Stegostoma tigrinum: one gene and its partners. The protein of the gene in region 2 purifies or fractionates together with the protein of the main gene of each other region. This does not show direct contact. Links are inferred from orthologs where the notes say so. Each region holds a gene or a part of one and is shown on either strand. Other genes may lie near its edges.

Region 1 (7,964 bases), on a different chromosome or scaffold from region 2:
GGAGGGGTATAGAAAGCAGAAAACTATAGGTCAGTTCGTTCAACATCTTGCACTGGAAAATTTTAAAACTAAATATTAAAAAATCATTGCAGCGCAGTTCAAAAAGTTCAAGGTAATCAGGCAGTGTCAATACAGTTTTAGTGAAAGGGAAATCACATATAACCAATTTAATGCAGTTCTTTCAGGAGGTAAGATGCATTGTGGCTAAGGGGGAAACCACTGGATGCATTGTACTTAAATTATTAGAAGGAATTTGATGGATCAAAGGTTATTGTGGAAAATCTCTCAATGAAGCACATATCACGATCTTTTAGGTAGAAGTTTGGCGGCCAAAAGGAAGGAGGTAGTAGGTAGAAACAGGTCATTTTCAGGTTGGCAAAATGTAACAAATAATGTGCCACAAGGATTAATGGTGGTGCCTCAACATATTACAATTCACATTAATGAATTGGATTAAGGGACAGGAAAATACAGTAGCAAAACACACCAATCTCAGACAGATAGGTAGGAATGTAAGTTGTCAAGTGGAAACAAGAAAGTTATAAAAAAAAGATTAAGTCAGTGGCAAATGGAGTACACAGTGGGAAAATGTCAAATTGTTAATTTTGGCAGAAAGGAAAGGAAATATGCTTATTATTTAAATGTTGATAGGCTGCAAAGCTCGGATGCAGAAATATCTGGATGTCTTTCTGAACAAACTATCTACTTTTTCAACTGCAAAAACCTGACAGTTAAAATGAACGCTCTCTGGTTAAATGGAAGAGGTATTATTACCCATCTGTAAAGTTCAGTGACAGTAAGCAGAACTGTCTTTAAAAACATCTCACTTTAAAAGATGCTGAATTTACACATATACATTCAGTACTCCCTCTAATGTTGTGACAGAAATTAAATAGTCCTTTGTGAGATTGATAACTAAAGATGAGAATTTTTAAAATTGAAGGTACAATGACACAGCCTCCACACAGATCAGCTAAAAGTACGATGATGAGTGAGAAAGCCTTGCTGCTGTCCAATACCTGGTTATTGGAACCTTGAAGGAGATGAAGTTTACGGGGCGTATTTTCAAAGTTTTTTCTGCATGATCTTTTCGATCTCAGCCTGTTCCTCAGACCTCGACCTCCTGTTCCTTAACCCAGCCCCACTAAACTATACAACCTTCCTTCACCTGTTGCCAAAATTCCACGTGTGAAACTCTTTACTCAGGCTTTCTTTACTGAATCAATCCTAACTGGAGTTAGGAACTATATTCTGTGCCTGTGACAATGAAAGTTGCCACAAATTTACAATTCATCAATGTTTTGGCACCCTAGATGTAACCAAGATATCCATTACCTAAGCATATTGATTGTCCAAATTTGTCAGGCACACAAAATCTGTGTTTGAAATAATTTTCTTTGTCTTATAATTATTGGATTTAGGACTCAGGATTTTTTTGGGTTAACAACATCGCACAAATGAACTGTGGAGGTGTGTAATGCTGAGTAAGAAATTTCATGGAGCCTTCTCATCTTGCACTCATCCAGTCAATTCTTTCCCACTACTTCCCCTATTGACATCTGTGGATTGTCCCGATGAGTACAAGATAAAATACTTCGACAAAATGCATGTTTTAGCAAACTCAAACTGAGAAATGTATTGAAATGACTTTGACATCACTTAAGGGAAATGCACGGCATAAAGTTCTCAAGATAGCAAATCACTAACAAGCCCAAGCACACAATTTTTTTTCCTCCTTACTTGAATAATGAAGACACAAGATCATTAAAAAAAACTGAAGCAGATCATAAGGACTTTGAACTTCCTCCTGCACTGAATTCACTCATAGCTAACCTTCGGCTTCAACTCCACTTTTCTATCTGTCTCTCATATTCCATGATTCTCCAAGACTGCAAAATTCTATCTATTCCACACATACACTCAAGTGCACTCAATTATGCAACATATTCTAGACTCGAAGAATCCAATGATTCACAACAAAAGATTACCCTCATCTCAGTCCTAAATTATTGCCCTCTGCCAGAGGACAAGGTCAGAAATCACACGACACCAGGTTATAGTCCAACAGGTGTATTTGAAAACACAAGCTTTTGGAGCTTCAGTCCTTCTTCAGGTGTTAGTGAGAGGGCAGTATCAGACACAGGATTTATAAGTAAAAGACCAAAGGTTCACACCATTGATGAGGATGTACAAAATAAACCTAAGATGCTGTTAAATCTTTAATCAGCTGGAAGGTTTTAATTGATCAATACGTACACAGAAATCAGCAAATTCCTTTCAAGTGGCAGCCCCAAGAGAATGAAGGCTTTTGTCAGTGTAAAGAAGTGGTGACATCTTAGGTCAGACAATATACGTTAGATGTGAGACCTTGTTTAGAATCTGCAAGTGCCTTAGACTGGAGTCAGGCTGGCTCTTCTGAAAAAACCTTTATTTCTCTCAGGACTGTGACTCGAAAGGAATGCAAAGATTTACATATACATATTATTCAATTAAACCTTCCACTGATTAAAGATTTAACATCATCTTAGGTTTGTTTAGTACATCCTCATCAATGGTGCAAACGTTTGATCTTTTACTTATAAATTCTGTGTCTGACACTACCTCTCTCACTAACAGCTGAAGAAGGGCTGAGGCTTGGAAAGTTTGCGTTTCAAATAAACCTGTTGGACTATAACCTGGCGCCGTGTGATTTCTGACCTTGTCCAACCCAGTCTGACACCGGCAGCTCCACATCATCACTCTGCTAGAGGAAACAATCCAAAAGTGTCAAGTTCCAAACTTCGGTTTTGAAAAAGAGTGAAACCAAATTAAAATCCCGCAAACCAATAGCTGGCGAAAGAAATTTCATTCGGGCTGCGCAGTGAAAACCTGCGCATCAAACTGGAGATGATCCATTGATGCGGGGGCAGGAAGAAGGTGCATGGGCGGAGGAGAAGGAAGAGCCTTCGACAACCATCAACGCCTTCCGGTGACTGGGGCGTCCCTTTAACCAGCCGATGAAATTGAAGGGGAATTGACAGCCACTTTTTTTTGGGACGGGTAGGGGTTGGTGATGGAGGGAGTTACTCCCAAGTCCTGGAAAGATTCTACACTCCCTTCAAGTCTGTAATCAGTAAAACGATGATATTTTAAATCATTGTCCCAACCTGGCCAGTGCAGAGTGACCAATCGGTTCGTGTGTGTGGAACATAAAAAGCCGGCTGGGGAGAGGGTTCAAACCTATGAACACGTTAAGAATTGCCGGAACCTGATAAATACACCTTTACACCCCATCCCCATCCGCTGCGGGCCGAGACGTTACACTCAGCCCTGAGCAAGCGGAGGAAATATAGGATTGACGGGGAACACGTGTCCGGGAGCTCTCGGCCCAGTTACTCGCCACTCTGACCCAACCCAGCCTTTCAATATGTACAACGTCTGATAGGCCAGTCGCTCGCAGCCTCCAAACGGCCACCACCTACCTTAGCGGACGGCACTACCGTGATCTTCTTGAAGTTGTAAAGCGCCATCACGACCCACCACTCCGCAACCGGAGAGAAGAGGAAACCACGAGCAATCTTAACAAGATGGTCCAGCTTGTTCAGTCCTCCCTGTCTGGAAGGTGAAACAGCGCCACACCGCTCCTCCCAGTCTGGGAGGTGAAACGACGCCACACCGCTCCACCCAGACTGAGAGATGCCAAACGTGTCACTACGCTCCTCTCAGTCTGCGAGGCGAAACAGCGCCACCGCGCTCCTCCCAGTCTGGGAGGTGAAACAGCGCCTTTCTGTACCGACACCTGCAGGTGGGGTTAGAGAATTGGCGCCTTGGTGAATACGAGCAATAGTTTATTTTCGTGAAGAGTGTGAAAGATGCTTAATTTAGAACAAACACAGCGCATTGGAGAAACCCATGAGGTCTGGCAGTGTTTGTGGAGCGATAAACAGAGTTGACAACTTCGACTCCAGCATGGCTCTTCGGAACTGAAAAATGTCAATTTATTTTTAATATGTACTTTTGACCGAGGAGGAGGCAAAGCGTTGTTAGTGGTGGAGAAAGAGAGAAAATAAAGTAAAATAGTTGTAAATTAAGGTGTCGAACGAGGGGAATGGGTCCTCTGTACTAAGAGCAAAGTGAACAAGATAAAGGATACGTTTAGATCTTTATTTTACCATGGCTGTCGCGGTCTGCCGTTTGTAAATATTGGCCGTTTTAGCTTTAGGTGGTGTAAAATGGTGTGTGGCGAGCATGAGTTGGCACTAAGTTAGCATGGGACTGTGAGGGACCATGGACTGCACGAGTCAGTACATTTGTAGGGCATTGACGTGGAGAATTGTGGGCTGAACGAACTACAGTAAAATGGGGCATCATGAGTGTGATGGGGAAGTAACAGAATGTAAAAGGAACAAAACAATTGGAGCAGACCATCCTGCAACTTTTGTGGCCAATTCCATAGCATCACAGAAAAGTTATGGCACAGAAAGAGGCAATTCAATCCTGCGATCTGCACCGAGGGCTGCAGCCTCCCATCCCAGTCCAAAATCAAAGGGCACTTTTTCTCAAGGCAATGAGCCAAATCTAGAAATTTCCTGACTTATAAAAGTCATACAGCACAAAAATAGACCCTTTGGTTGAACTTGTCAATGTTGAACAGGTTTCCCAAACTAAACTAATCTCATTTGTCTGATTTGTCTCATGTCCCTCTAAGCCTTTCCTATTCATGTACCTGACCAAATGTCTTTTAAATGTTTGAAGTGTATGTGCATCTCCCAATTTCTCTCGCAATTCATTCCACATACTCTGTCAAAAAGTTGCCCATCAGGTCCCTTTTATATCTTTTCCCTCTCACCGTGAAACCATGCCTCCAGTTTTGAATTCCCCTTCCCTAGGGAAAAGATCTTCGCTATTTACCATATCTATGCCTCTTATGATTGTAAAAATCTTTATAAGGCCACTTCTCAGCCTCCTACGCTCCAGGGAAAAGAGTCCCAGCCTATCCAGCCTCTCCTTATAACTCAAACAGTCCAATCTTGGTAACATCCTTGTAAAGAGAAGACAAGGTGTAGAGCTGAATGAACACAGCAGGCCAAGCACCATCAGAGGAGCAGGAAGGCTGATGTTTCAGGCCGAGATTCTTCTTCAGAAAAATGAAGAAGGGTCTAGGTCCGAAACGTCAGCCTTCCTGCTCCTCAAATGCTGCTTGGCCTGCTGTGTTCATTCAGCTCTACAACTTGTTATCTCAGCTTCTCCCAACATCTGCAGTTCCTACTATATCTGAAACATTCTTGTAAATCTTTTTTGCAGCATTTCCAGTTTAATAACATCCTCCCTTTTGCAGAGCAACCAGAATTGTCTGCAGTACTCCAAACGTGGTCCTATCAATGTCTTGTATAACCTTAACATGACATCCCAACTCCTGCACTCAGTCCTCTGACCAATGAGGGCAAATGTGCCAAATGCCTTCTTCACCACAGTATCTACCCTTGATACTACTTTCAAGGAACTATTTACCTGAACTCCGTGGGCTCTCTGTTCGACAACACTACCCAGGACCATACCATTAATAGTTTAATCCTGTCCTGATTTGTCTTACCGAAATACAGTACCTCACATTTACTGAAACTAAACTCCATCTGCCACTCATTGGCCCAACTGACCAAGATCCCATTGTATTCTGAGATAATTTTTTTCGCTGTCCACTCCCTCACCAGTTTTGGTGTCATCCACAAACTTACTAAACATGCTTCCTATATTTTCCATTTCATGCAAAAATCCAGCCAAATGTAAGGAATAAACATGACACTCTTTGTTGATCTGGAATGTGCTGTCCTCCAAAAGTTAGCTTTCAAAAGGAAACTGCATAAATAGTTAAAGTGGAAAAATACAGAGATGGTGAAAGAGCAAGAGATTAGACTAATGGGTTGCAATTTCAAGCCAACACAAACAATACGGCAAATCAATTCCTTCTGTATAGTGTCAATCTGTGATTTTAAAATTATTTATGTCAGAACCACTGTTGCAAAGATAGCAGCAGAACATCTATGTCATTAAAATTTGGCATAAAATTAACAAGTTGTAAAGCTCATATGTAGGAGGTATTGTTTGGGTGATTCTTCATCAAGCAAATCCTAAAATACAGAAGAGCAGTGGAACCTCCCCTTCAAATTTATATCAATAGGAGGCATATTTTCTTGGTAAGTACATCTTGTTAGATTCATGAAACTACTGAATGTTTGATAAGCAATTTCATTTCTTATCCTTGAAAAAAGATTTGAAGATATTCAAGTTTACTTTCCCCCATTAAATTTCCTATGGCTGCACAAGTTGGATCAAGGTTCCCTGGAAAATTTTGAATGTTGCAAATGATTTTGCCTGAGACAAAAATTGTAAACATTCATGTTCTGTTCTGAGTTTAAAAATCCAAATACAGTTTTTATTTTCCCTTTCCTAAATAGACATATGCACCCCTTATCTTCCAAGTCATTCCTTATCCTTATAACCCAAACCCTTGGATCCTCACACGTAGTTACTATGAATTTCAAATGGGTGGCGTGTTTCAGGCTATTACTGACTCCAACAAGGATTGGTTATTTGTGGTTCACTAGGAATGCACTTGTTTCAAAGTCAGATCCCACATCAGCTATAAAGCTAAACTGGCACCTTACTGCAGTACCGAGAGAGTACCTCACTGCTGGAGGTTTTGACTTTGGGTGAAATGTTGAATCAAGTCTCAGATTGCCCCCTCAACTAAATATGAAAAATCTGATGGCACAACTTCATTAATGAAAAGAGGAGCTCTTCCCAGTCCTGGCCAATATTTCTACAATTTGCCATATAAAACAATGTTTTTCCCAATGTTACTTATAGTTTGCATGTTATAGTAAAATCCTAAAACTTAAACTGTTGTGACGTGATTCTGTCAACCGTTACTTCGATGTTCACATTTTTTATAAAAGTTACTGGTTTATATAGGGATCACAGCACTGAGAAAGGGCAGTGAGATAGAATTAGAGTGAACAGGTGCAGTGAAGAGCTATTCCAAACACAGATGCAATAGTGTACAGTAACTTATTTGATCTAATGGGGATAGATGACCTTGACTCAACATAATGAACTGCTGTTAACTTTTGTACACAAATATTTTTCTTTATCTACAGGTTGATTAAATTATGCTCACAGTGCTTGAGTCACTTGTTATGCAAGGACAGATGTGCCACTCTTGATCTGTCTCATGGATCATAATTTCTTGACGTTTCACTTTAACCCATGAACATATTTCAAGTGAAGTTTGGAAAAACAGCAAGATCAGTCATCCATGGCAATATAAACTTTTCAATTTATTTGAGAATTGCATAAAAAAGACAATTTGCCATAGTGTGTTGCATTTATTAATACTTCTTGAGCATTGTCCCAAAGTAAAGTGAAAACAACAATTATGCTTTAAGAGAGGAGGATGCTGAAAGTGAACTTCCAAAGTTTGTTTAAATTTTAAACTAGGCATGTTAACTTTGCTTGTTCGACATATTGCTGTGAGAAATAAACCAGAGAATTGCTGCCATCTGCATGTTGGTTGAAAAGGATGCTGTATGTGTACCTCTTCTTCCTATTTGCAAAAAAAGGGCTCCTGTATATTAATATATGTAGTTATGTACACACTAGATATATCTCTCAGTGTGACTGAACAGCTTTTTAGTCTAGGCTATCCTTTAGTATAATGGCTACGTGACCAGATAATTTCTCACTGTTTCATGTGAATTCATAAATAGACCTGAGTTAGTTTAGTCATGAAAGATGCCTATCTCTCTGATGAGCCTGGAAAGGTATGACATCTCAAAAGTTTGAACAACACACTGTTTTGTGCTACTCCTATGGACTGGCAATATGATTTCTGATCACCATGAATAGGATGCTGCCAGTAAGCCCAGAAGATATTCTGCACATCACACAAATAACTAAAGTGATATATGAATTTCACTACCGGCGTG
Region 2 (7,983 bases):
GGTACATACAGATAGGGTGGTACACTTGCCTTCGTTACTCAGTTCTTTGCATATAAGATTTGGGAAGTCACGTTGAAGTTTTCTTGGACAGTGGTGAGACCTCCTCTGCAATACTGGTCTCCCAGTTACAGGGAGGGAATTATTCAGTCAGAGAGGGTTCAGAAGAGATTTACCAGGATGTTGCTGGGTATGGAAGTTGAGTTATATAGAAAGGCTGGGATTATTTTCCTTAGAGTATGATAGAACCTGATAGAAGTGTAAAAAATATTGAGATTTACGGATGAGAGGTGATTTGATAGAAGTGTACAAGATAATGAGAGGCCTAGAGTGAATAGTCAGAGACTTTTCCCAGGGTGGAAATGACTATTACAAAGGATATAATTTTAAAGTGATTGGAGGAAGGTATGGGGAGATGTCAGAGGTAGGTTCTTCACACAGAGTGGTAGGCATGTGGAATGTGCTGCCGGCTGTGGTAGTGGAGTCAGATACTTTAGGGACATTTAAGGGACTCTTGGATAGGCACATAGAGGATAGTAAAATGTAGGGTATGTAGGATAGATTGATCTTATTAGAATAATGGGCCTGCACAACATTGTGGACCGAAGGGACATTGTGGACTTTAGGGACATTTAAGGGACTCTTGGATAGGCACATAGAGGATAGTAAAATGTAGGGTATGTAGGATAGATTGATCTTATTAGAATAATGGGCCTGCACAACATTGTGGACCGAAGGGCCTGTACTGTAATGTACTGTTCTATGTTCTATGCGTGGATAGTGTTAACGCCTAGGATGGCAATTTTTAAGGCAAGAGGAGAGAGATTTTAAAAAAAGACCAGGCAATTTTTTTTCAAACAAAGACGGTGGTCCACGTGTGGAATGAACTTTCTGATGAAGTGTGCATGTGGGTACAATTACAACATTTAAAATGTTTGGATATGTACATGAATGGGAAAGTTTTGGACAGATATGGGCCAGGGAGCAGGCAGGTATGACTAGTTTAGTTTGGGATTATGTTCGGCATGGACGGTTGACGAAAGCATCTGTTTCCATGCTGTATGACGCTATGACTCTCTAAGTTTATATTTCTCCCAAGCATAATTACGAATTGCAATAACTTTCCCACAACCAATGTTAAACAGGTCTATAATTTTCTGGTTGCTCTCTCACCTCTTAAATTATGGAGTTCTTTTTTCAATTCTCAAACCTAAAAGAATTCCTGAATGAAGACAGATCAGGAAGATTATGGTTTAGCATCTGCAATTTTCATACTAACTTGCTTTGAATTTCTGGGTGGGAAACACCAACTAAAGGATCTGGCATTCTTTAGTGAGAATATTATTTCTAATCACATTTTTGATATCAGCTATCCAGATTCCAACCTAAACGCCAATATAAAAGTAATCCAACAGCAAGACCTAAGCTAAAGAACTCAAAACATTAAGCAAATTCATATCACCTAATTAAAGCCTGTTGTTCGCAACTGATCACTTACATAATTCTTGATTTGAGCAAGAAGCAACACCAATAAAAGATATTGGAATAGCAAGAAAAAAAGGATGAAAACATGAAAAAAAGATAGAAAATGCTGGAAACGTTAAGAGCAGGCAAAAGCTGCACCAGTGACCTCACCCCCGCCTCCCCTCCCCCCCATTTACACCTACAATAGATTCATCTTTATTTCCTTGACATCTCTTTTTACCTAGTACCACTAGTCTTTTCATCATTGAATTGTTTCTGTCTTCCATTTAGCCACAGGACATTCCTCTTGCACTTGGCAACCATCCTCCACTTCTACACTTGTTTAAAACCAAAAATGTCTGACTTTTTTCCCCAGAATTGACTTAATGCTTAAAGTCAATGGCATTCTCTTTCTCCCTCCAAAGTTGCTGCCAGGCCTGAGGAGTATTTCCAGCATTCTCTGTTATTATTTCACATTTGCAGCATCAGCAGTATTTTGCACTTTTATTACTTTAATTTGTTCTGATTAAAAAGGTACTAGTTACACACCAGTTTGGTTCAAACATTAAAAAGGTCCAACTTCGAGCCAAAGTGAATTTATTCATACCTCGTTGGTCAATGGATGAATATTTTATTCAGCACCATAACAATGCCAGGAATATATTAAACTATTGATTCAATGAAGCTCACCCCTAGAACACAAACACACACGTGCAACAATGCACTGAAAAAAAATCTTCTCACTGTTGCTTTAGAAGCAAAGATGTTCCACAAATTTACAAATATAATTAGCACGAAATTTTGAAACTACATGAGCCTCAAATTTAGAATCAAACAAGTTACTGGCATTCAGTGACTTGTATACAAAATTAATTTGTTGTTACAAGAGTGAAATGTCATCAGTATGAATACCAATAATACTCAATCTCTCCTCCAGGACAAAAGTTTTGCCTCCTCTCTTTATTGTGTGGTCATGCATGGAACGGATGAAAATTGAAATATTAAGGAAATGCACAGGCATCAGACACAAATGCAGTTACCATAGAACTAAATGAATTTCCATCAAGTACCAAACCAATCATCATCACTCCCTCATGGCTCAGTGGATAATTCCACTATGTGATGCAGCACAGGGCCAAGTGATAGTGGGAAGAGATAGAACATTAAATCAATGTTAACAAAATATACAGTACAATACAAATTAAAAACAGGAGCTGTTATGTTTGAGACAAAACGATCATCAAGTAATCATACCGAAGTGACATAACATGCACATCCAATCTGAATGGCTCACACATCTCAAAACTACATGAGAATGTCAATAGTTTACAAAGAAAACTCCTATCCACACCGAAGAAAGCAGACTTCATCTTAACAGTTGATTACAGTTGATGGCACTTTCTCAAAACAATTAACTTACACTGGATATTTTAAACCAAATTCGGTCAAGCCCAGATTAGACAAAATGCCAACAAAAAGGCCGTCATTTCTAAAAACGTATGTTAGGACCAAGCAATGGAATAAACATCACGGAGGATGCAATAGTGTATAAGCACAAATATCGAGTTTTTTTTAAAAATTATGCCATCATTCAATGAATAAAGCTTTTTTTCTGCCCAAGACCAAAGCGCCGTTAGCAGATCCCGAAACATCTAGAGCAGAGAAGCAGCATCAATTTACACAAGCCACACTCTGCACTACTCACTTTTTATGAGCCTTCTCTTTCTTTCCTTTCGGCCTCCTCTTTCGAGCTTGAATAGCCAGGACTGACAAGACAAGACGGAAAACAAGGAGGAAATTATATAAATATAATTTTAAATATACCTAGCACTTAACAACCAAAACAAAATATCCAGGCAATCGTGTAATGTAAGGAGGTTTGTTTCTATTTGTGATGTGTTCCTTTCTAAAAAGAAAAGTGCCTGACGTTTAAATAGACTAGTGGACAAACGCGTTAATTCCTATTTTTTTCCCCTCACCTTTCCTGGAACTCATTTTCCAGCAGGATTGTCCTCGCGGAGCCGCGCGCAGGCGCAACCGTCAACTTCCCAGCGCTCGAGCACAGGAAACTGGACGACCGGTACACAATTAACGTCACGTGCCTTAGATGGGAACTCGGAAGTTAAAGGGCCTATAATATATATTCAAACATCGAAGAAGCAAAAGGTATAATTACACCTCCCTCTGTTTGTGCATGCTTCGAACATAAATATTTCGGTTTCCTTACAAGACAACGTTCCTAACAACAAACGAAACGTAAAAATCTATCATTTAACCCTGAATGAGTAAATAAATTGTTTCACATTGAGATGTAAAGCAACACAGATATCCGTCGTTTGATGTATTGATAATCATGTTCATTTGCTTTACTACCTGTGTTTATTTTAAAAATATTGCGTTCATGCAATGTCAAAGATGTGGACTTGTGTGCAACCTTCTTTGACTGTTCTTCAACTTATTTTCCATTAATGTAAAATATTGTTTAACCAAATGTCTGGTATATTTGTACATCAATCAAAGCTGATTTACAAAGTTTCCTTCTGTGTTATCTTTTTAAAACTTCATTTGTATTAAGTAAGTACTGGAAGAATCATTTGGCAAACATTTTCTAATCTCTAACAGCAGAATTCTATATTTGAGTAATCTTTTACAGCTTCATGCTCCTCTGAGAAGTCTGCATTCTTCCATTCTGATCACTTGGGCATCTTTAATTTTAATCATACCTCTCCTGATGGCCTGCCTTTAGTTGCCAAGGCCCTGAACTTCAGAATACCCTCTATCTCCATCTATCTTTTCTCCTTTAGGAGATTTATTTGTGGCTCAGCATCATTTTACTTTGTAATACTATTGCCAACTTACTTTGAATGTTTTTATCATTTTAAAGGTGCTATGTTAATACAAGTTTTTGCTATATGCATATTACCACTGCAGGTCATAGGAACAGGGAGTAAGACTATAAGTTGTAGGAGCAGAAGTAGGACATTTGGCCTATTGACTCTGGTCTGCTATTCATTGAGAAAATGGTTAATCTCATATTTCTTGTCTCCACTTTCCTGCCATATCCTTACTGATTAAAAATCTGTACATGTCCGACTTGAATATACTTACTAATGCAGCTGCAACAGCCATATGTAGTAAAGAATTGTACAGATTCAGGTGAGCTAGCGCTAATGGGGAGTGTTTAAACTAACTTGGCAGAGCAGTACGATCCAGAGAGAAAGTCCAATGGGGAACCAAAATCAAAAGAGATAGCAAGGAAGTCAGGAATCCATAGAAATTATATGCTAGTTAAGGCACAAGGGAGCTTGGCAAAGTTGGATGATATTTATTTTAATGCAAAGAGTCTGACTTATAAGGCAGATGAGTTGATTGCATGAAGTAAAACAAGGGGGGATGATTTAATTGCTATCACTGAGACATGGTTGAGACAGGAGCAGAATTGACAGTTCAATACTGGAGAGTCTAGGGTCTTCAGACAAAACACAAGAAGATAAGAGGAGGGGGTGTTGCAATATTTTTGCATTAGGGAAATCTTGTGTCACGAACTTGATTGAGTTTTTTGAAGAAGTCACCAAGAAGATTGGTAAGGGCAGAGTGATAGACATTGTTTACTTGGACTTTTTACTTCGACATGGTTCTGCATGGTAAACTAATTAGTGAAGTTAGATAGCATGGGATTCATGATGAGCTTGCCAATTAGTTACAAAATTGGTTTAACAACAGGAGACACAGAATTGTGGCGGAGAGAGTTGATTGTTGTACTGGAGGCCTGTTACCAGCGGTGTTCAACAGGGATTGTTGCTGGGTCCGCTTTTGTTTGTCATTTATATGAATGATTTAGATGAGAATACAGAAGGTATGGTTAGTAAGTTTGCAGATGACATTAAAATTGGTGGTATAGTGGATAGTGAAGAAGGATACATCAGGTTACAAACAGATCGTGATCAATTGGGTCAATAGGCTGAGGAGTGGCTGATGGAGTTTAATTTGGATAAATGCAAGGTATTGCAGTTTGGTAAATAAACAAGTTCAGGACTTATACAATTAATAGATGGGCCTTGGGTATCACCCACCCAAGGGTGGAATTGATCCTAGGTCCCTGGCGCTGTGAGGCAGCAATGCTAACCACCGGGCCGCCCACATACTTTAACTGTTTTCTTCAACATGTCCAACCACCTTTCATGAGTTATGTACTTGTATACAGAAGTAGTGTAGAATGGAGACCTAGGAGTTCAGGTCCATAATTCTTTGAAGTTTGCGTCCAATATAGACAGAGTGGTTAAGGAGGGATTCATTATCTTCACTGCTCAGACTCTTGACTGTAGGAGTTAGCACGTCATGTTGAAGGTGTACAGGATGTCGGTGAGGCTTCTTCTGGAACACTGTGTCCTGTTAAAGGAAGGATATTATTATGCTAGAGAGGTTCAGGAAAGATTTACCAGGATGTTGCCAGGAATGGAAGGTTTGAGTTAAAAGGAGAGGCTGGATAGACTGGGACAGTTTTCGTTGAAGCGTAGGAGGTTGAGGAATGACCTTTTAGAGGTTTATAAAATCCCGACGGATATGAATAAGCTGAAAGGTTTCTCTCTAGAGTGGGGGGGTTTCAAGACTAGGAGGCATATTTTAAGGTGAGAAGGGAAAGATTTTAAAAAAGACATGAGGATCATTTTTTTTCAGCAGAGATTGGTTCATGTATGGAATGAACTTTGAGAGGAAGTGGTGGATGCGGTTCAATTAAAATGTTTAAAAGACATTTGGCTAAGGATATGAATCAAAATTCTTGGAGGGAGATAGGCAAAGGCAGGCAGGAGGAACTAGTTTACTTTGGAATTTTGCTTGGCATGCAGTGGTTGGAATGAAAGGTCTGTTTCCATGCTGTTTGACTGTATGATTCTGAGGGATTGGATAGAATGGTTTGTTTTCCTCGAAGAGGAGACAGTGTGCTATTAAATGAGATGTTTAAAATTATGAGGGGTATAGACAGGAGAATACTTTTCCCCTTGCTGGGGGAATCAATGACTGATTTAAAGCATAGATTTAAAATAAGGGACAGGATGCCTACAGGGAATGTGAGGAATTTTATTTCATCCAGAGGGTGATGGTAATCTGGAACTCACTGCTTGTAAAGGTGTTCGAGGAACAAACATTCATAACTTTGAAGATGTATTTCGATGTACACATATGATGTCAAGGCTTGTAAGACTATGGGCCAAATGCCGAAAAGTGACATTAGTGTAGTTAGGCAGTTGTTTTTGACCAATACAGACTCAGCCTTTATCTGAGCTGTTGACTTGTAACACTCTATGACACTAGCCACTGAGCAAATAAATGCTTCCTAATCTCTGTCCTAAATGGGCAATTTCTTGCTCAGAGATTATGCCCTCTGGACCTGGACAGAAAGGGAAACAATCTCTCCACTTTTTTTATTCATTTGTGGGATGTGGGCATTACTGACTGGCCAGTATTTATTGCTTGTTCCTAGTTGCCTTTTAGAAGATGGTGGTGAGGTGCCTCCTTGAACTACTGCAGAGCACCTGCTCTGGATTGAGGATTTTGACCCAGCGACAATGAAGGTACAGTGATATATTTCCAAGTCAGGATGGTGAGTGGCTTGGAGAAGAAATTGAAGGTAGTGGTGTTCCCATGTATCTGCTGCCCTTGTCCTTCTCCATGGAAGTATTCGTAGATTTGTAAGATGCTGTCTGAGGATCTTTAGTCAATTTCTGCTGTGCATCTTGTAGATAATACACACCTCTGCTCTGAGCAATGGTAGTAGAGCAAGTGGATGCTTGTGGATGTAGTGCCAATCAAACGGGCTGCTTTGTCCTGGACGATGTCAAGCATCTTGAACGGTGTTGGGGATGTACTCATCCAGGCAAGTGGAGAGTATTCCATCATATTCCTGACTTGTCTTGTAAATGGTGAACAGGCTTTGGGAAGTCAGGACATGAGTTACCCGTTGCAGTATTCCTGCAGCCTGGCATGTGTGTGGCGTGAATGTTACTTGCCACTTGTCAGCCCTAGCCTAGATATTGTCCACATCTTGTTGCATTTGAATGTGGAACGCTTCAGTACGTGAGGAGTCATGAATAGTTGTGAACATTGTGCAATCATAGGCGAACGTCCCCACTTCTGACTTTATGATGGTCCGGTCATTGATGAAGCAGCTGAAGATGGGTTCAGCCTAGGATACAAATGTGTGGAACTCCCGCAGAGATGTCCTGGAGCTGAGATGACTGACCCCCAACAATCATGACCATGTTTCTATGTGTCAGGTATGACTCCAATCACCAGAGATTGCTCCCTGATACCGATTGATTCCAGTTTTGCTAGGCCTCCTTAATGTCACACTTGGTTGAATCCAGCCTTAATATCAGGGCTGTCACTCTCACCTCACCGCTGGAATTCATTTATTTTGTCCATATTTGAACCAAGGCTGTTCTGAGTGGCCCATGCAGAACACAAACTGAGCATCACTGCACAGGTTATTGCTGAGCTGCTGCTGCTTAATAACACTGTTGA
Region 3 (8,025 bases), on a different chromosome or scaffold from region 2:
TCCAGCAATCGATGGCAGCTAGCATAACCACAGCATCAGGAGTAATCTGACCGAAATTCTAATTTGCACTCTAGAAATAAGAAAATAGAAGGCTTCTGAGGAAAACAAATATCAACGATGAACAGAAGGGAAACGGGTCGAGTGAGCAAAACTCTTGTCAATTGCCACTCTTCTGTGGAAGGAACAAGTGAAAGTGAGAACAACGAGGTAACTGTGGAACAAGGAATGAAGGATACAGGTGTTCAGCTCTGGATCAAAGGATTAAGTGATACAATGGCACAAAGTAATGATTATCTCAGGAAAATGAAGAATTTGAGGCATATGATGGAAGGAAATATTAGCTTAAAAGTATTTGTTTTTAAATTTGTTGTTAGTACGTACACAAAATGGGCAAGGTCAATTTACTGCCCCTTTTCTAGTTCCCCGGCTTAAGTACTGGTCAGCCTTCTCCTTGATCAGCTCTTGTTCTTGCAATAACGGTTCTTTGATAATGGGCTTTGGAGCGGATTCTGACAATGACCAAGGGAGTGGTCATTGACATCCTCATCAGGATGGTGAGGGCTGAAGAGGAACCTGGGATGCAATGACATTCCCACAACGTTACGACCAGTATGCTTCTTAGTAAATTGCTATCACAGGATTGTCGGTACTGTCAAAATAACCATGATAAGCTGCTACAGCGCACATCATAGTTGATCAGCAATCAATGTTGTGTTGGGGGAAAACAGGAAACAATAGAAAGCCACATTATCCCCAACTCCCACAGTGCCACTACAAGGACATTTTCCCAAAATAGTATATACAAACATACAAATGTCCACAATACCCACATTTCCCCTACCACTGACAACATTTTGCATCTCCTCATTTTTAAGCCCAATTTTATATCTCAAAAGAAAGTAGAAAAAGGGAGGAAAATGACATCAAACAAAGAGAATGCAGAAAGGCAAAATAGAAAAACAGAAACAAAGTTAGCAGGGATAATTAAAAGATTTAATCTATAACTTATCATACACAATACCATGGAAGAGCAATCACAGGTATTAAGAATCTTACTTATGCAAGCACATGCAAGTCAGTTTTTGTAACCTGTCACAAGAAAATGCATTTTAAAGCCATCTAAGTCTGGTGCATTTTGCAACCTCGATGGAAACCACACTATTTGAGGAAATATACGTTGGCAATTGGTTCTGCCAGTATCAGCTGACTTGCTAATGTAAATGATTGGATCTTCATGATTGCAGCAGCGATCCTTTTTTTAAAGTCTTGTGTGGGGTCCCTGGATTGACTACTTGTGCATCATGCCCACGAAAGGCAAGAGTAGTAAAATTAGTTTTACAGTTTTGTGATCCCATTGTTAAAATCTGCCTTTTTGAAGTGCACAGGTCTCACTGACATGACCTGCAAAATGGAGATCCGTATTTTCAGTTGATGTTCTACACATCTAGACAATCATGGGAAGGAACACCATAAACAGGGCGGGAAGATGGAGAAAAAGATACTAAGACAAGTGTCAAAAACAAAGGTCAGGATGCAGTAGATTAAAAACATTTAGTGAAAATATTGAAGCAGATCTTGGAGATGGTATAACTTTGCTTTTAAGACATGAAATCTATTCAGCATGTGGTTTTTGAGAACTGTGTTACACTAAGTATAATTCATGGTCTGTTGACTTCACCTGCCACAAGAAATGACTAACTGAAATAGTGCACACATTGAGTACTTACTTGTAGCCAACTAAGAAGTTTAAGAGCAGACTTGATTTCTTAAAATAATTGTTCAGGTTCAAAGAAATGAAAGGGGAAGGCATTATCATGTAAGATAATAATCAACTACTTTCAAGCAAAATCACCTACAAGTTGACAAATGTATGAAGAAATCAGGGCCCACGTAGCACAGCGGTAGTGTCCTTACCTCTGAGCCAAGAGACCAAGGTTCAAGTCCCAACAGTTTGATTAAAATAAACACTAAAAACTTGGCTTAATGGCTTCAAGCAGGTATTCGATGAATATTTTAAATAACAAGGTGCAATACATGTGCATCAACAACTCGGCCAGTGGATAGGCTTCAAATATTATAAAATGCAAATTACAACAGTCACTTAGAAACGCATTTACACTGCTAAGGACAAAAATTGTTACTTGCCGCACAAATCAAGATTAAAAACCCTTGTAAATCTCATGATCACGTGCGAAGAGATACTGTTGAACTGGACTACATCGCAGGGGAAGGCTTCTCGACGTTCAATTCAATGTTGCTGCAGAAACGCAACTTGTTAAAAAAAAAACACCCTCCAATCAACGTACAGGTATCGATGAACATCTCAAGCGTATTCAATACTGTGCAATGGAGAGTGAATGCTTACGACACATCAGCCAAAAAAGTACTCACCATGTGCCAGCAGTGTTAAAAATAGATATAAACAACGCACCATCCTTCAGATAAAAACTTGAAAATGATCGACATGTCCGAAATGTTAAGGGACTAAACCAATTTTGCAGAACTACAGCCGACGAAATACTATTGCTGAATTCTGAAGTTGAGCGAGTTTTGTTTGCAGGATCACCGATTTCGTTCCCTTGACTATCCACCACCTCCAACCCTCTTCCCCCAAAATGAACTACAATAACTCTGCAATAACCCCGTGGAATCTATCTCCTTTAACTACCCGGATATGCACTGAGATCGTCCAAACTCGCTGGTACTTACATAGGTTCCAGGGTCTTGGTGAGCCACGACTTGAGGGCATCGAGATTTTCTATCATCATTGTGACCAAGCTTGGAAAGGGAGAAGGTTTTTTTGGGGGGCGGTGGGAGATAACAGAGGCCGATCGGCTCTTGTCAAACACTAAACAATTTGTTGACGAGGGAGGGGGGGGGAAGCAGGAAAGATCGGGACGGAGGAAAGTGGCAAGTGGCGGGGCAGGGGGATGCTTTATGACCTAAACGAACTGGGGGGTTGTTTCGTCTTCCCCCTTTGGAGGGAGAAGGGGGTGGGGAAATCAAAGACCGAACATCGAAACGAAAGGCTCTTTACCCCCTTTCTAATAACGAAAACAAAAATTTACAAATAGCAGCTGCGGCTCCGGATGCTCAACGTGTCCACACACACGACCAGAGACAGGGCCTGCAAAAAATATTTTAAAAAATATCTTTTTACTTTAAAAAAAACGTACAGGCCTGCGCAGCACGCCAACAGTGTTAAGAGTTTGAGACTTTTTCTTTCCTTTTTTTAAAAAAAATCGTTCCGCCCCCCACTCGCAAGCGTCAGGAGTATTTCACCAGCTGGGCCCAGGCTAACTCTTAACATTTCTCGCTCTTGGCGAGAGCATTCAGAAAATGGCGGCTTCCTACTCTCGGCCCGCACACATATCTCGCGAGGTTTCCTGCTGGCTGACTACGGGGGCGTGGTGAGAATGTGTGTGTGTATCGATCCATCTGGAGGACGCATCCAAATTTCAACAGGCACGCGCACACACACACACACGCACACAGACAGTGAAGAGCCTGGGGGAAAGGAAGTGGGATAGGGGATGAAGGGCTAGTGGAAAAGGTGATGTCGAGAGAGGAGGTGGGGAATAGGGGATGAAGGGAGGATGGTGTGTGAGCAAGGGGTTGAGGGGCGTAAGGGAGTCGGGGGAAGGGGTGATAGCAGTTGAGGCAGAGCTGTGGGGAGAAGGGGAGATGGCAGGAGTCGGGGGGAAGGGGAGTTGGAGGGGTGTAAGGGGAAAAGGGAGATGGGGAATCAGTGGAAGGGGTGGCGGAACGGGGAGATTGGAGGTAATTAGAGGGGGGAGTGTGGGGAAAGGAGTTGGGCACACACATGGGAAGAGAGAGGGGTGGGGAGAACGGTGATGGGGTGACTCGGGAGAGGAGTGGTAGAAAAGGAGGGGCGTATGGTAGGGAGATGTCCCCGGTCAGAAAAGTCAAGGGGAGTTGGGAAGGGGAATGGGGGAAGAGAGGAATGGGGGAAGGAGAGTGGGATTGGGGAATGGGGAGTGGCGTGGGAGGGGAATGGGGAGTGGCGTGGGAGGGGAATGGGGGAGTTAGGGAGGGGAGGGCAGTTGCGTAAGGGGAGATGGGCAGGGAGGAGTGGGTGCAAGGTGGAGAGGGAAGTGTGGGAAAGAGAGAGGGGATGGAGAATGAGGGAGACAGGATTGTGGGAAAGGGAGGTGGAGATGGGGAAGGGAAACAGTATTGGGAAAGAATACAAGAGAGTGGGTTTAGGGGAGGGGTGAATGCAGAGGGGCAATAGTGAATGGGGAGTGGGGGAAGGGCAGTTGAGGGGAGCGCTGGAAGGGCAATTGATGGATTGGGGAGCAGAGATGGGGAAAGGGAGATGGGGGGAGTTGGGGAAGAGGAGGGTGAGTGGACGTACAGGGGAGTGGCAGAATTTGAGAGTTGGAGAGGGTGAGTGGCAGAAGAGGGGAGTGGGGGAAGGGGAGAGGGAGAGGTGGAGTGTGAGATGGGGGTCGCCGGAGAAGGGAGATGAGGGTAGTGGGGTCAGGGGCTGGGGGAAGGGGAGTGGTGGATGGGTAGATGGGAATGGGAGGTAAATGGGGGAAAGGGGAATGCGAAAGTCCAGAAAGGGGGAGGGTATAGGTGGGAAGAGGTAAAGGTGTGAGTGGGTAGGGAAGAAAAAGTGAGGGGAAAGGGTAAAAAGGTAAAGGGAGGGGGAATGGGAGAGGGCAGTTGGGGAACAGATAGGGGAGAAATGGAAAGGGAGGGAAGCAGGGAGTATGGAGGAAGATGGTGGTGGAGAGGGAAGGAGGATGTGAGGAAGAGGATGGGAGTGTAGGAATGGCAGGGAGCAGTGAGGGTAAAGATAGACTGGGGACAGGAAAAGGGAAGGATGTGGATAGGGCAAAAGGGACTAAGGTAAAGGTATGGGGAGGAGGGTAAAAAGGGTTGGGGGTAAAAGATTTGGTTAGGGATAAAAGAGTGCGAGGGAGAAGGTGGTGTAAAAGGTGGAGAGTTGGCTGGGGCAAGAACCAGTAAGGGTGAAAGGTGGGTGGGGTTGAAGAAAGTTGGGTGGTGGGTGGTAAGGGGGCGTCAATCATCAAGGGGAAGTGAGATAAATGAGAGGGAGAGGTGTGGTGCTGGGAGAGAGGAAGGCGGCCAGAGAGGGGAGGATTAGGCAGAGGGTGAGGGTAAAGGGGTTGGGGAAATTGGGAAAAGGAGGAGGGAAAAGATGTCAGGAAAAGGACAGATTTAAAGGTGCAAAGATGGATAGATATCCAAGGACCTGCCATGGTGGGAGAGAGTAAGAACTTTACTGGTGACAACCAATAATAAATGTGAGATTGTGATGGTGCACATTGGCAGCTGCAGTACTGGTGAATAGAGGGTCAAAGACACACAGATTAATATAAAAAAGCAAAGTAAATTTTTTTATTGTTCTGAATCGCTATAAAATGCTTTTGTAGTCAGTGTTATGTTTGCTTTTAGATTCAACCATTCTTTTTTTTATTCCTCTCTCAACAAAGTTCCCCTTTTCACTCCAGTTTCCTCTTTTGAAGATCACAGTTTACATTGGAACCGTGCTGGAGATATGTGCAGATTCAAAGTCTTCACATAGCTAATTCTTTTTGATGTGCACATGTCATCAACTAAGTTAAATCTTTTTGCACACAAGCCCAACATAAACAGAAGCACACTGTAAGTGACTTCTTTCATATGATTGATGTTGCAAAATTTGCTCTCTTCCGAGCAAGTAGTGATTTACACTGGATAGCAATTCCACAGGTGCTTCATTGGCTCTATACCATTTCAAATTTCTGCTGTAGTGTGATGCTGAGCAATTTCAGCAGGATATTTAAATACAAGGCTGTAATTATGAAGCACTATTAACCATAACTCAACATGCCCATGTGTGCACTTCCAACAGGCAGCATCGTACAGTAAAGAGCAGCACAAAGCTGGCTTCATTTTTGTCCTCTTTGCTCACTGGTACCAAGGGTTGTTACAGACTCTTTGCTTCTAGTGCAAACGTTACTTACCCTTGGATGAAATTTACAACTCAGGAGAACACAAAGTAATATGTCATAATTGAGCTAATTGACTTTGATCATAGATAAGATCAGCTAACTAAGCACAAAGCAAGGTTCCATGATTGCAGATCTCCATGAGTAATATGATATATTTAGTTAGAGAAACATAAAAACAGGAATAGGCCATTCAGACCCTTTGAGCTTACTTCAATATTCTAGATCATGGCTAATCATCAACCTTTTCTGCTTTATGTGAGTACACCTGCTAATATATATGGACTTTGCATTACAATCTCCTTCTTAAAATAGTTAATTGTTTCACAAGGCTAGATTTTCTTGGCATTGGCAGCAGTGCAGCAGAGTGAAACTGCTAACCAATATTTTGATCTGGTTTGTTACGCCAATCCATTTTCCTTCAGACTTCAGTGTAGAGGCCTTTCACCAAGCTTGCTGCAACAAGACAGAAACTTTTGTTTATGTGAGAGACCACGCCTGAAGTGCTGATCTTAAACATCTTGGGGCCCAGGTGTCTGAAAGCATAACTGCCAGAGGAATGAAGCAATTGTGAAAGGCAAAATATGCTAATGTCAGAGGAATGGCAAGTTTTCAAGAGGCTGCAGAAAAGATTAAAAAGAAAGGGTTAGGCAACAAAATTACAATCTGGAATTGGAAACCACTGCAGGTCAGGGAATGAGTGAGATGTAGCTTAGGAAAAGATACAAGAAGCATGGTTTAGTGATTTGAATTTTTTTAAATGCACAATGGATGAAAGACAGAACAAATTTATTGTGGAGGTTATTTTGCTCTTTATGCTTCTAATTGTTACATTTGGTCTGTACTTGTTGGTGCACATCACATACAATTTTCCTGATTTTCCAGTTTTCCAACTTAATATATTGAACCTTGTATGTCAGGGGAGAGTTTCTGCTCCAATCAATAAGAGATTGTTGAGTTGTTTCAGGTCTTGAGCAAATCTTACCCACTGCTTTCTGAAGGCAATGTTTCATCCTGTAACTTTCTGTCAGGTAAAGCATTACCCATCCACAACAGTCACAGAAGTTGAGATATTTCTGGGACATATGCTAGTCACGGAGAGTAATATTTGGATTCCATTTGAAAATGCAGAGCAACCTTGATCCGATTGTTGGATGCACATATGAACCAAACACGTGGTCTGCTTAGTGAAGACAACTGACATTTATAGAACACTAGTTATATAGCCAAACATCCCAAAGCATGATCAGACAAGCCCTGAGTATAATCAGTTGTAGCATTTGAACCTGAGTTAAGGATTATTGTTCCTAGTGAAGCAATGCCTTGTTTTCAAAATTCTGTCCCTCGTTTTCAAAGTCCTTCGTGGCCTATTCCATTCCTACATCTAATCTCCAGCAGTTTCTCCTTATCCTGCATTATATGTTGGACAGGCATTGTGATAAATTTAAAAATATTCCAAAGAAGTCACTTTAGACTTGAAATGTTAACTGTTTCAATCTACAGAGATGTTACCAGACCTGCAGAGTTTTTCCACCATTTTTGGTGCTTATTTCAGTTCCCTAGAATTTGCAAAACCTTCAATGATAAAGTCAGAAGTCACCACACGGGTTATAGCCCAACAGGTTTATTTGAAATCACAAGCTTTAGGAGAGGAGCCCTTTCGTCAGGTGCACTTGTCGGATGGGGCCGCGTTACGAACGCTTGTGATTTCAAATGAACCTGTTGGACTATAACCCTGGTGTCGTGTGACTTCAGACTTTATCCACCCCAGTCCAACTTCGGCTTCTCCACATCATGGCTCCGTTCAACAACAAAGGTGTTGATGAAATAGAGCTTGTTGTCAGCATTCAGTACAACCTATTATTAAGTTGCTGAGGGTCACTCACGCAGACTGAGAATTAGGAACGAGCTGAAGATCCTGAGGGATGTCAAAGCTTAGACTGGGAAGAGAAACCTTTGCAGATGTTTCTTTGGCTCTATGAGGTTTGGTAAGAATTGAATGTAGGAACTGTAGTCCCATTCAGAGACGATAGAGAGGCAT
Region 4 (7,738 bases), on a different chromosome or scaffold from region 2:
AAGCTCATCTAGTCATCATCACAATGCTGTTTTCTGGGATCTTGCTGTGTGCAAACTGACTGTTCCGTCTCCTGCACGAGGTTACTCATAGGAACACGAAATGGCCATACAGCATATCACATCTAAGCCACCATTCAACTTGATCACACCTGAGCTGTATCAGATCTCATACCCTTTAAACCTGAAGTAACAGAACACCATACAAATTCGTTGATGACGCCATCATAGTGGGACGGATATCTAACAATGATGGGTCAAACTACAGAAGGCAGAAAGAGGGCTTGGTGACACGGTGCAAATGAAAACAATCTCTCTCAATGTCGGCGAGCGAGAGCGAGAGCGAGACATCATGTTCCTTGGAGTGGCCATAACTGACAACCTGTCCTGGACTTCCCATATAGATGGTCAAGGAGGCACAACAATGCCTCTTTTTTTTTCCCCCCCTGAGTTGCATGAGGAAATTTAGCATGTCCATAAAAGGTCCCTCACCAACTTCTACCAATGCACCATTGAAAGCATACTGTCCAAGTGCATAATGGTCTGGTATTGGAACTGCTCTGCCCAGGACAATAAGAAACCACAGAAGGTGGTGTGCACAGCCCAGACCATCACAGAAACCAAGCTTGCATCTACAGACTTCATTTACATGGCTCACTGCTGCACAAAGGCTGCCAACAAAGACCCACGGCACCCTAGCAATGATCTCCTACAACCTCTTCTGTCAGGAAGATACAGAAGCCTGAACACACACACCAGCAGGTTTAGGAACAGTTTCTGCCTGGCTATTACTAGATGAATGGACACTCTAACCTCAAATAACACTGATCTTACTAAACAAGAGTGATCAACTCTAAATGTTGATCTCACCTAGTACACACCCTGTGCAATATAACCTGAAGGTATCTGTCTAAGTATTTTTGATCTGTACATTGTTTGCTTACTATGATCTGCCTGTACCACTGAAACAAAACTTTTCACTGTGTTTCAGTACATAGGACAGTAAATAGAATCAAAACACCAGCAGCATGGTGGTTCAGTAGTAAGCACCACTGCCTCAGTGTCAAGGAACTAGGATTCTAGCCCTGAGCAACTGTGCAAACTCCACACACATTCTCCCCATGTCTGCACGCTTGCTGCCCACCTCTTCCCACCGCTCCCCACATCCCCCCCCACCCCCCACCCCCCCACCCCCACCACCACCCATGATCCGTTTTCCTCTCAGTCTAAAGATGTGTAGGTTACGTGGATTAGCCATGCAAAAAATTGGCCCATATAGTGTCCAGGGATGTGCGGGCTAGGTGGATTAGTCATGGCAAATAAAGTTCCAAGGATAGATTTGAGGGTGGTGTCAGACAGACACTCTTTGGAGGTTTGCTGTGAACTTGATGGGCTGAACGGTCTCTTCCAGACTCTAGGGAGTCTATGAAGATGGTCAATAAATAGCTCCTGTAGTAAGAGTTCTAGGATTCCCATGGTGGGGGAGGGGGGAAATAATGGTGTTTCACAGCTTGCATTTATATCATTGTTTAAAAACAAAACAAAAAAAGGATGGGGGAGAAAATACAAGAAAAATATAAAAATAAACAAAGACTTGCTCACTAAACTCAGTTCTCATGACCATGCTCCCTCAAGTCACATAAATCTCACCTGCTTAGTTAAAATCCACTGTTCGCAAGTGTAGCATTTTTATAGGACGAGCATTTCAATCAGTTGAGAAGGAAAAAATGGGGGAACCTTTTGGGCAAGTGCTCTTCAGAATTACTTCAAAAGTTTTCCAGTACTGAAACAGGCCATTCAATCTAAAGTGTTCCAAATAAATGCTTTATGCTCCATACGAGTCTCAGCTCACTATCAGCATACTCATCTATTCCCTTCCTCCTCTGGTGTTGTTTCAGTAGCTTGTAGTATACACCTCACTATACCCGAACACACATTCTTAGGGTAACAAAGCTTTTCCTCAAATTCCCTAATAGATCTATTACTTAATTAATATTTAGTACCAGAGTTCCAAAGAGGAGACTACAGGTGGAAGGTATAACATTTTCTACCTCAGATGAGAGCCATACAACTGCAAAGTGTACTTTCAAACATTTCAAGAAAATCACCAAAACACAGAAACTGTGCTTCAATTTAAAGAAAGAAGGGAAGAGAGAGGGAAAAGGTGAACAGAAGTCACTGATATCACAGTCCTTCTGTTATAGAGAATGGTGTAGCACAAATTTAGGCCATTTAGCTGAACTGATTGTATGCTAGTGATCATGCTTCTCCCAACTCATCAATATATCCTTCTATTTCTTTCTCAGTTCACTTGTATATTTAGTTTCCCTTTAAATGCATTCACGGTAGTTATGTCAACCACTTACTGGAGGTTAGAATTCCACTTTCAGATGTTCGCTGACCTACTTGTAATTTTCACATTTTATAGTCCTTAGTTCTTGGTTATGTGCCTTTCCTTTTTAAGGAAGGACAATTTTCGAACGAAAAAGGAGCTGAAAGGCCCAGAAATGTGGCCTCCCTGATGAACAATTATGCAGCAACAAAGCATTTTCATAAAATACCACTCTTTTACCGTGCATAGTTTTGAGAAGCACTGCAGCCGAGTAGAATGGACAAAATAAGGGATAAGGGATGAGAAATAAAATAATTACTTTAAGATTTAGTTTGCTTTTAGATGAATCTTATGTGCCAAGATGATATTAGAAAGCCTCAACTCTGTTTCCAGTAGGAGGTTCATTAAGCAGATTTGTTTTAAGATAAAACGGAAAAATAGCAAGAGGAGATTGGTTTTGCTTTGGGTCTCCAAAGCATTGTTCAGATTCAATAGTAACTTTCAGAAAAAAAAAGGGAAGAGTTCTTCATGGCCCTGGGTAAACGTAGGCACAACAAACCAAATGGTTGCCTCGTGTTTTGTCATTCCCAAAACAATACCACAGCTCAACAGGTACAAGGGGTTCACAATTCAAACATGCACACTGGACAGTTTCCAGAAAATAGCTGAAAATATTAACACAGATTAAGAATTATTTGACTAAAAGCTTTACATGATACATACAGCTGGTGTTGAAAAAAATTAGTTGCCATCCCAACAATTAATCTCTTCGAGATCATTACATTAATTTAAACTAAACTACAACAGCATGCAATTGTTAGTCTGAATTTTCCAACTACCAGGAGAAGCGAACTGTGAACAATTACAAGATTGAAAAGAAACAAACTACGGGGACTGACCATCAAGCATTAATGAAAAACAGTGACAGTAGCTTAGAAAGACTCACAAGACCACTGTAGAGCTTGAACGAATGCACTAAATTGGCCCATTTTCGCTGCAGCGTTTGGATAGACTTCATACTGAGATGCAACACTACACGGTTGCAATCGCCTACAACTAGTCAGTCCTCGCACCGAGAATCATCCATTTCCAGAAACCATCAAGCTAGATTATGCAAGCTTAATACATCGCTGCCCTACATGTAGCGCAAATCCTGCCTGTTACAATTGTGCTGGGAAGGCAAAACAGCCCATTCAGGACACAAGTCAGTCACAATCAGAACCTTGGCCGCCACACTGAATTTAGCACATTTTACATTGTACATACTAAGTAGGGCGATACTGCACAAGAATGGAAGAGTAATGCTAATCTCATCCAATTTTGAAAAGTATGTATGTGTTTTCTACTAGCCATTAACTTCAAAAAGGAAGTTGTTTTTTTCTTACATCCACTGTTATGAAAAAGAAACAAACACTCAGTGTTACAACAAGTGGGATTAAGCCTGCGAACTGGAGGAATGAGACAGGGCTCCACATTAACCATTCATTGTCCACTTGGTTGATTCAGGCTTGCAAACAAATCCAGTTTGCTTTCAGCTCAGAAAGAATTTCCAGAAACAAAAATAAACAAACTTTCTATTAGACACCTGAAACTTAGCCTGTAAAATTTCACTTCAGGCTCAGTTCAAAAACAAGATACCTTGACAAATCAGAAGAAAGCTGGTTACAGGTTAAGGAGTATCAACCTCAACTCTTGCGGCGGTAGTGGTTTGGTTTGGTTTGGTTTGTGGTCACCCGATGTGGTGTATACAAAAAGGTGGAATCCCTCTTTCCCCCCCACTGCGTGCCCCCACCCCAAAGTGGGCCAAAAAGTGGATCAATCAAAAATTTCAAAAGCAGAGATTTCAAGAGAAGGTTATCAAGGAGGTGCAGAACAGGGCAAGTGGATGGTGTTACGATACAGATAAACCGTGATCTTGCTGAATGTTAGGCCCAAAGAGGTCTGATTAGCCCCCTCCTTTTCCTACTTATATAGCAACTGCTAAGCCATTAAAACCAAAATAACCGTGGATGCTGTAAATCAGGAACAAAAACAAAAAGTTGCTGGTAAAGCCCAGCAGGTCTGGCAGCATCTGTGAAGGAAAAACCAAAGAGTTAAATGTTTCAGGCTTGGTGACCCTTCCTCAGAAGGAAGTGCTACTGCTAGGCCATGTTTGATTAGGTTCCTCACCAGCTTCCACATCTTTCAGCACCTTACTTTATAAGCTACTGCTACAAACAATTGTATTTCTGCACAATTTACACATTAATATGCTGCCTTGGTCCCAAGTTGGCCAGACTTCATTAAACACTCTGGAAAGCAGAAGGCTACCAAAATTTAAACAAAACAGGTAGCTCAGTGATTTTGTTAAACTGGGAGAACTGACAACAGAATAATGCATGGCTTTCCTTAGTTGTACTTTTAAAATTGTACCACAAAAAGGAGGGAAAAAAAAACAGGTTGGAGCTGTTTTAGGACAATATTTCATTAAAATGATCTTTATTATATGTGTGGCTGATAGAAAGCTTGCAGAAATTTGTGAGTTTCCAATGGATTTGGAAGTAGAGCCTTGCCCAGCCTATTTCATTTATGCACGAGGAACAGGGGGTGGCTATTCTGTCCTCTCAAGCCGGTTCCACTATTTAACTAAGATCATGGTTGATCTGCATTTCAACTCGGAACCATGGCATGCAGACACAATTAAAATACCTAGAGATGCTTGGTAGTGAGTGAGTGTGTAGAGGGATCTTGGTGTCCATGTACATAGATCCCTGAAAGTTGCCACCCAGGTTGATAGTGCTGTTAAGAACGCTTATGGAGTGTTCGGTTTTATTGGTAGAGGGATTGAGTTCCGGAGCTGTGGTGTCATGCTGCAACTGTACAAAACGCTGGTGCGGCCTCATTTGGAATACTGCATGCAGTTCTGGTCGCCCCATTACAGGGAGGATGTGAAAGCACTGGAAAAAGTGCAGAGGAGATTTACCAGGATGTTGCCTGGTCTGGAGCACAGGCCCCATGAAGAAAGGCTGAGGGACTTGGGTCTGTTCTCATTTGAGAGAAGGAGGCTAAGAGGGGATTTAATAGAGACATACAAGATGATCAGAGGATTAGATAGGGTGGACCGTGACAGTCTTTTTCCGAGGATGACGACTTCAGCTTGTACAAGAGGGCATAGCTACAAATTGAGGGGTGATAGATTTAAGACAGATATCAGAGGCAGGTTCTTTACTCAGTGCCAAGGATGTGGAACACCCTGCCTGCCAATATAGCTAAACTCAGCCACATTAGGGGCATTTAAACAGTCCTTGGATAAGCAGATGGATGATGGGATAGTGTAGGGGAATGGGCTTAGATTACTTCACAGGTCGGCGCAACAGAGGATTGAAGGGCCTGTTCTGCGCTATATTGTTCTATGTTCTATGAACACAAAATTGAACCCTACGCTCAAACAGGTTTTTGTAAAAAAAAAAGGAGTGGGCATACAAAGATCAGGCAGTCTGCTAGTAAATGCTATTTCTTTAGTGACAGTATCAAAAGCTCCATCTCCCAAATCCACTAACATCATAACAAGCGGTTCTCACTACAGAAATAGAATACAAGCCAAAAATCAAGCATTTTGGTAGGGAACACACGTCATACTAATACTTTGTAGCATAATCCATATTTAAAAAGGCACAACCAAAAAAGGACCTTTTTTTGAACGAGATCATCCAAAACTTGGATGAACTTGTAATGACACTAATCTTCTAATCCAAAACACATTTGGAACCCATTTTTTAAAAAAAACTCACTGCAGTTGGGTGTATTTCTGGACCAAAGATGAAACTATTTTTCCAGCTATGAATAAACATATCTGTTGATAACAAAAGCACAAAGTTTCACCTCAACTGTTGAACTCAAATGTGAACTGAAAATGTCACCATTTCCAAAGAAAACAGGAATAATCTTCCAACTGTCTGATGAATTGATAGCCAAAAATAAAGAAGCAATAGCAAGCACAGTTGGTGGTGAACCGCACAGCGTGGAGTTTGGTTTTATTCAAATAAATTTTGTTTTCAGCTTTATGCTGTGGAGTCTTGGAAATTGACTGTCAGGGAGGTTAGCAAGAACACGGTTTGAAAACAATCATTAGGTTTCAGCTAGGGAACTGCATCCAATTCTGCACATAAAACTATTAGGAAGGATGTGAAGACTTCAGGGAGAAGGAGAATGGAGAGGAACCTGGTGTCAACTTTACAACATATAAACAGGCCATTCAGCCTAACTCATCCAAAGGCAAACGACCTCAGTAAAGCAGATTGCAAACAGGAGGCTAAAATAGTATCAGAGATAATGGGAACTGCAGATGCTGGAGATTCCAAGATAATAAAATGTGAGGCTGGACAAACACAGCAGGCCAAGCAGCATCTCAGGAGCACAAAAGCTGACGTTTCGGGCCTAGACCCTAGAGCTCTCTGATGAAGGGTCTAGGCCCGAAACGTCAGCTTTTGTGCTCCTGAGATGCTGCTTGGCCTGCTGTGTTCGTCCAGCCTCACATTTTATTATCTTGCAAACAGGAGGCTATGGGGAGATGTGATAGACGTGCTTATAGTGTAACTAAAAAAGAAACTCCTTTCAATGGCAAGATGATCAGTAACCAGAGAGCAGAGATTTGAAAGGTTAACTTTAAGAGGAGTAAATATTTAGTTAGTGTGGCAAACAGTGATTAGGAATGCACTGACTGAGGATATTTTGAATCAAAATTAAACTTCCAAACAAAGAGATCAGAGTTAGTAATCAAATTTGATAGTTCTATGAAAGAGCCAGCACAGGCTCAAAATGGATTGAGTGGCTTTCCTTCTGTTTCGTCATCAATTCCATCAAAGAGAAATTTAAAACAAAATTATTCATTTTCCACACAGTAATCAGATAAAGACTACAGTTCTCGCCAATAGCTAGGATTTTTTGCAGACCACCTGCCATTTTTTGTGGCCTTAGAAGCATTCACTAATGCAAAACAAAACTGCTGCAACAAACAATCCACTGGAAACATGTTGAAACATTCCTGTCATTTACTCCACCCAGGAGTTTTAAAGCAAACAAACAATGATAATTTGAAGAGAGGAGTTAAGCTTATAAAGTTGATGCAATCTTGCTGCTATCTTTCTGAAAAAAAACACACTCACAGTCCCTGCCCACATTACTTCACCCTCAGTCTTAGAAAAAGCTACGCATGTCCATTAAAACTAAATGCAAAGAGGTCCTGTTATTATGCAGTGTACAAAGACAAGAAAGTGACTCTCGTTCTCAAACATAAAAGTGAGGCTGCACAAAATGAGTCATCAGTTGGACAAAGCACCTCAGTTTCTGAAGGCCAATGTTTGTTAGAGAATCTGAGGCAGCTAGCCAAAGTGGCCCAGATTACCATTCAATTCAATGCTCATTTGTAGT

Evidence for each region.
Region 1: the proteins of srpk2 (region 2) and gtpbp4 purify together in Homo sapiens (affinity purification with mass spectrometry; 3 studies listed by BioGRID and IntAct, with this or other methods). This does not show direct contact. The link is inferred for Stegostoma tigrinum from reciprocal best matches to the Homo sapiens genes SRPK2 and GTPBP4.
Region 3: the proteins of srpk2 (region 2) and rbm26 purify together in Homo sapiens (co-immunoprecipitation; 3 studies listed by BioGRID and IntAct, with this or other methods). This does not show direct contact. The link is inferred for Stegostoma tigrinum from reciprocal best matches to the Homo sapiens genes SRPK2 and RBM26.
Region 4: the proteins of srpk2 (region 2) and tight junction protein ZO-2-like purify together in Homo sapiens (affinity purification with mass spectrometry; 3 studies listed by BioGRID and IntAct, with this or other methods). This does not show direct contact. The link is inferred for Stegostoma tigrinum from reciprocal best matches to the Homo sapiens genes SRPK2 and TJP2.

The regions. Positions count from the first base shown.
Region 1 is NC_081355.1:136,686,306-136,694,269, forward strand, and holds the start of gtpbp4 (nucleolar GTP-binding protein 1), read right to left. Parts: upstream 3,596-7,964; 5' UTR 3,510-3,595; coding exon 3,462-3,509; intron 1-3,461. UniProt on the Homo sapiens protein: Involved in the biogenesis of the 60S ribosomal subunit. Acts as a TP53 repressor, preventing TP53 stabilization and cell cycle arrest.
Region 2 is NC_081378.1:22,540,390-22,548,372, reverse strand, and holds the start of srpk2 (SRSF protein kinase 2), read right to left. Parts: upstream 3,538-7,983; 5' UTR 3,457-3,537; coding exon 3,441-3,456; intron 3,228-3,440; coding exon 3,167-3,227; intron 1-3,166. UniProt on the Homo sapiens protein: Serine/arginine-rich protein-specific kinase which specifically phosphorylates its substrates at serine residues located in regions rich in arginine/serine dipeptides, known as RS domains and is involved in the phosphorylation of SR splicing factors and the regulation of splicing.
Region 3 is NC_081359.1:29,917,443-29,925,467, forward strand, and holds the start of rbm26 (RNA-binding protein 26), read right to left. Parts: upstream 3,356-8,025; 5' UTR 2,769-3,355; coding exon 2,710-2,768; intron 1-2,709. UniProt on the Homo sapiens protein: May be involved in the turnover of nuclear polyadenylated (pA+) RNA.
Region 4 is NC_081356.1:27,980,327-27,988,064, reverse strand, and holds the start of tight junction protein ZO-2-like, read right to left. Parts: upstream 3,471-7,738; 5' UTR 3,348-3,470; coding exon 3,276-3,347; intron 1-3,275. UniProt on the Homo sapiens protein: Plays a role in tight junctions and adherens junctions. Acts as a positive regulator of RANKL-induced osteoclast differentiation, potentially via mediating downstream transcriptional activity.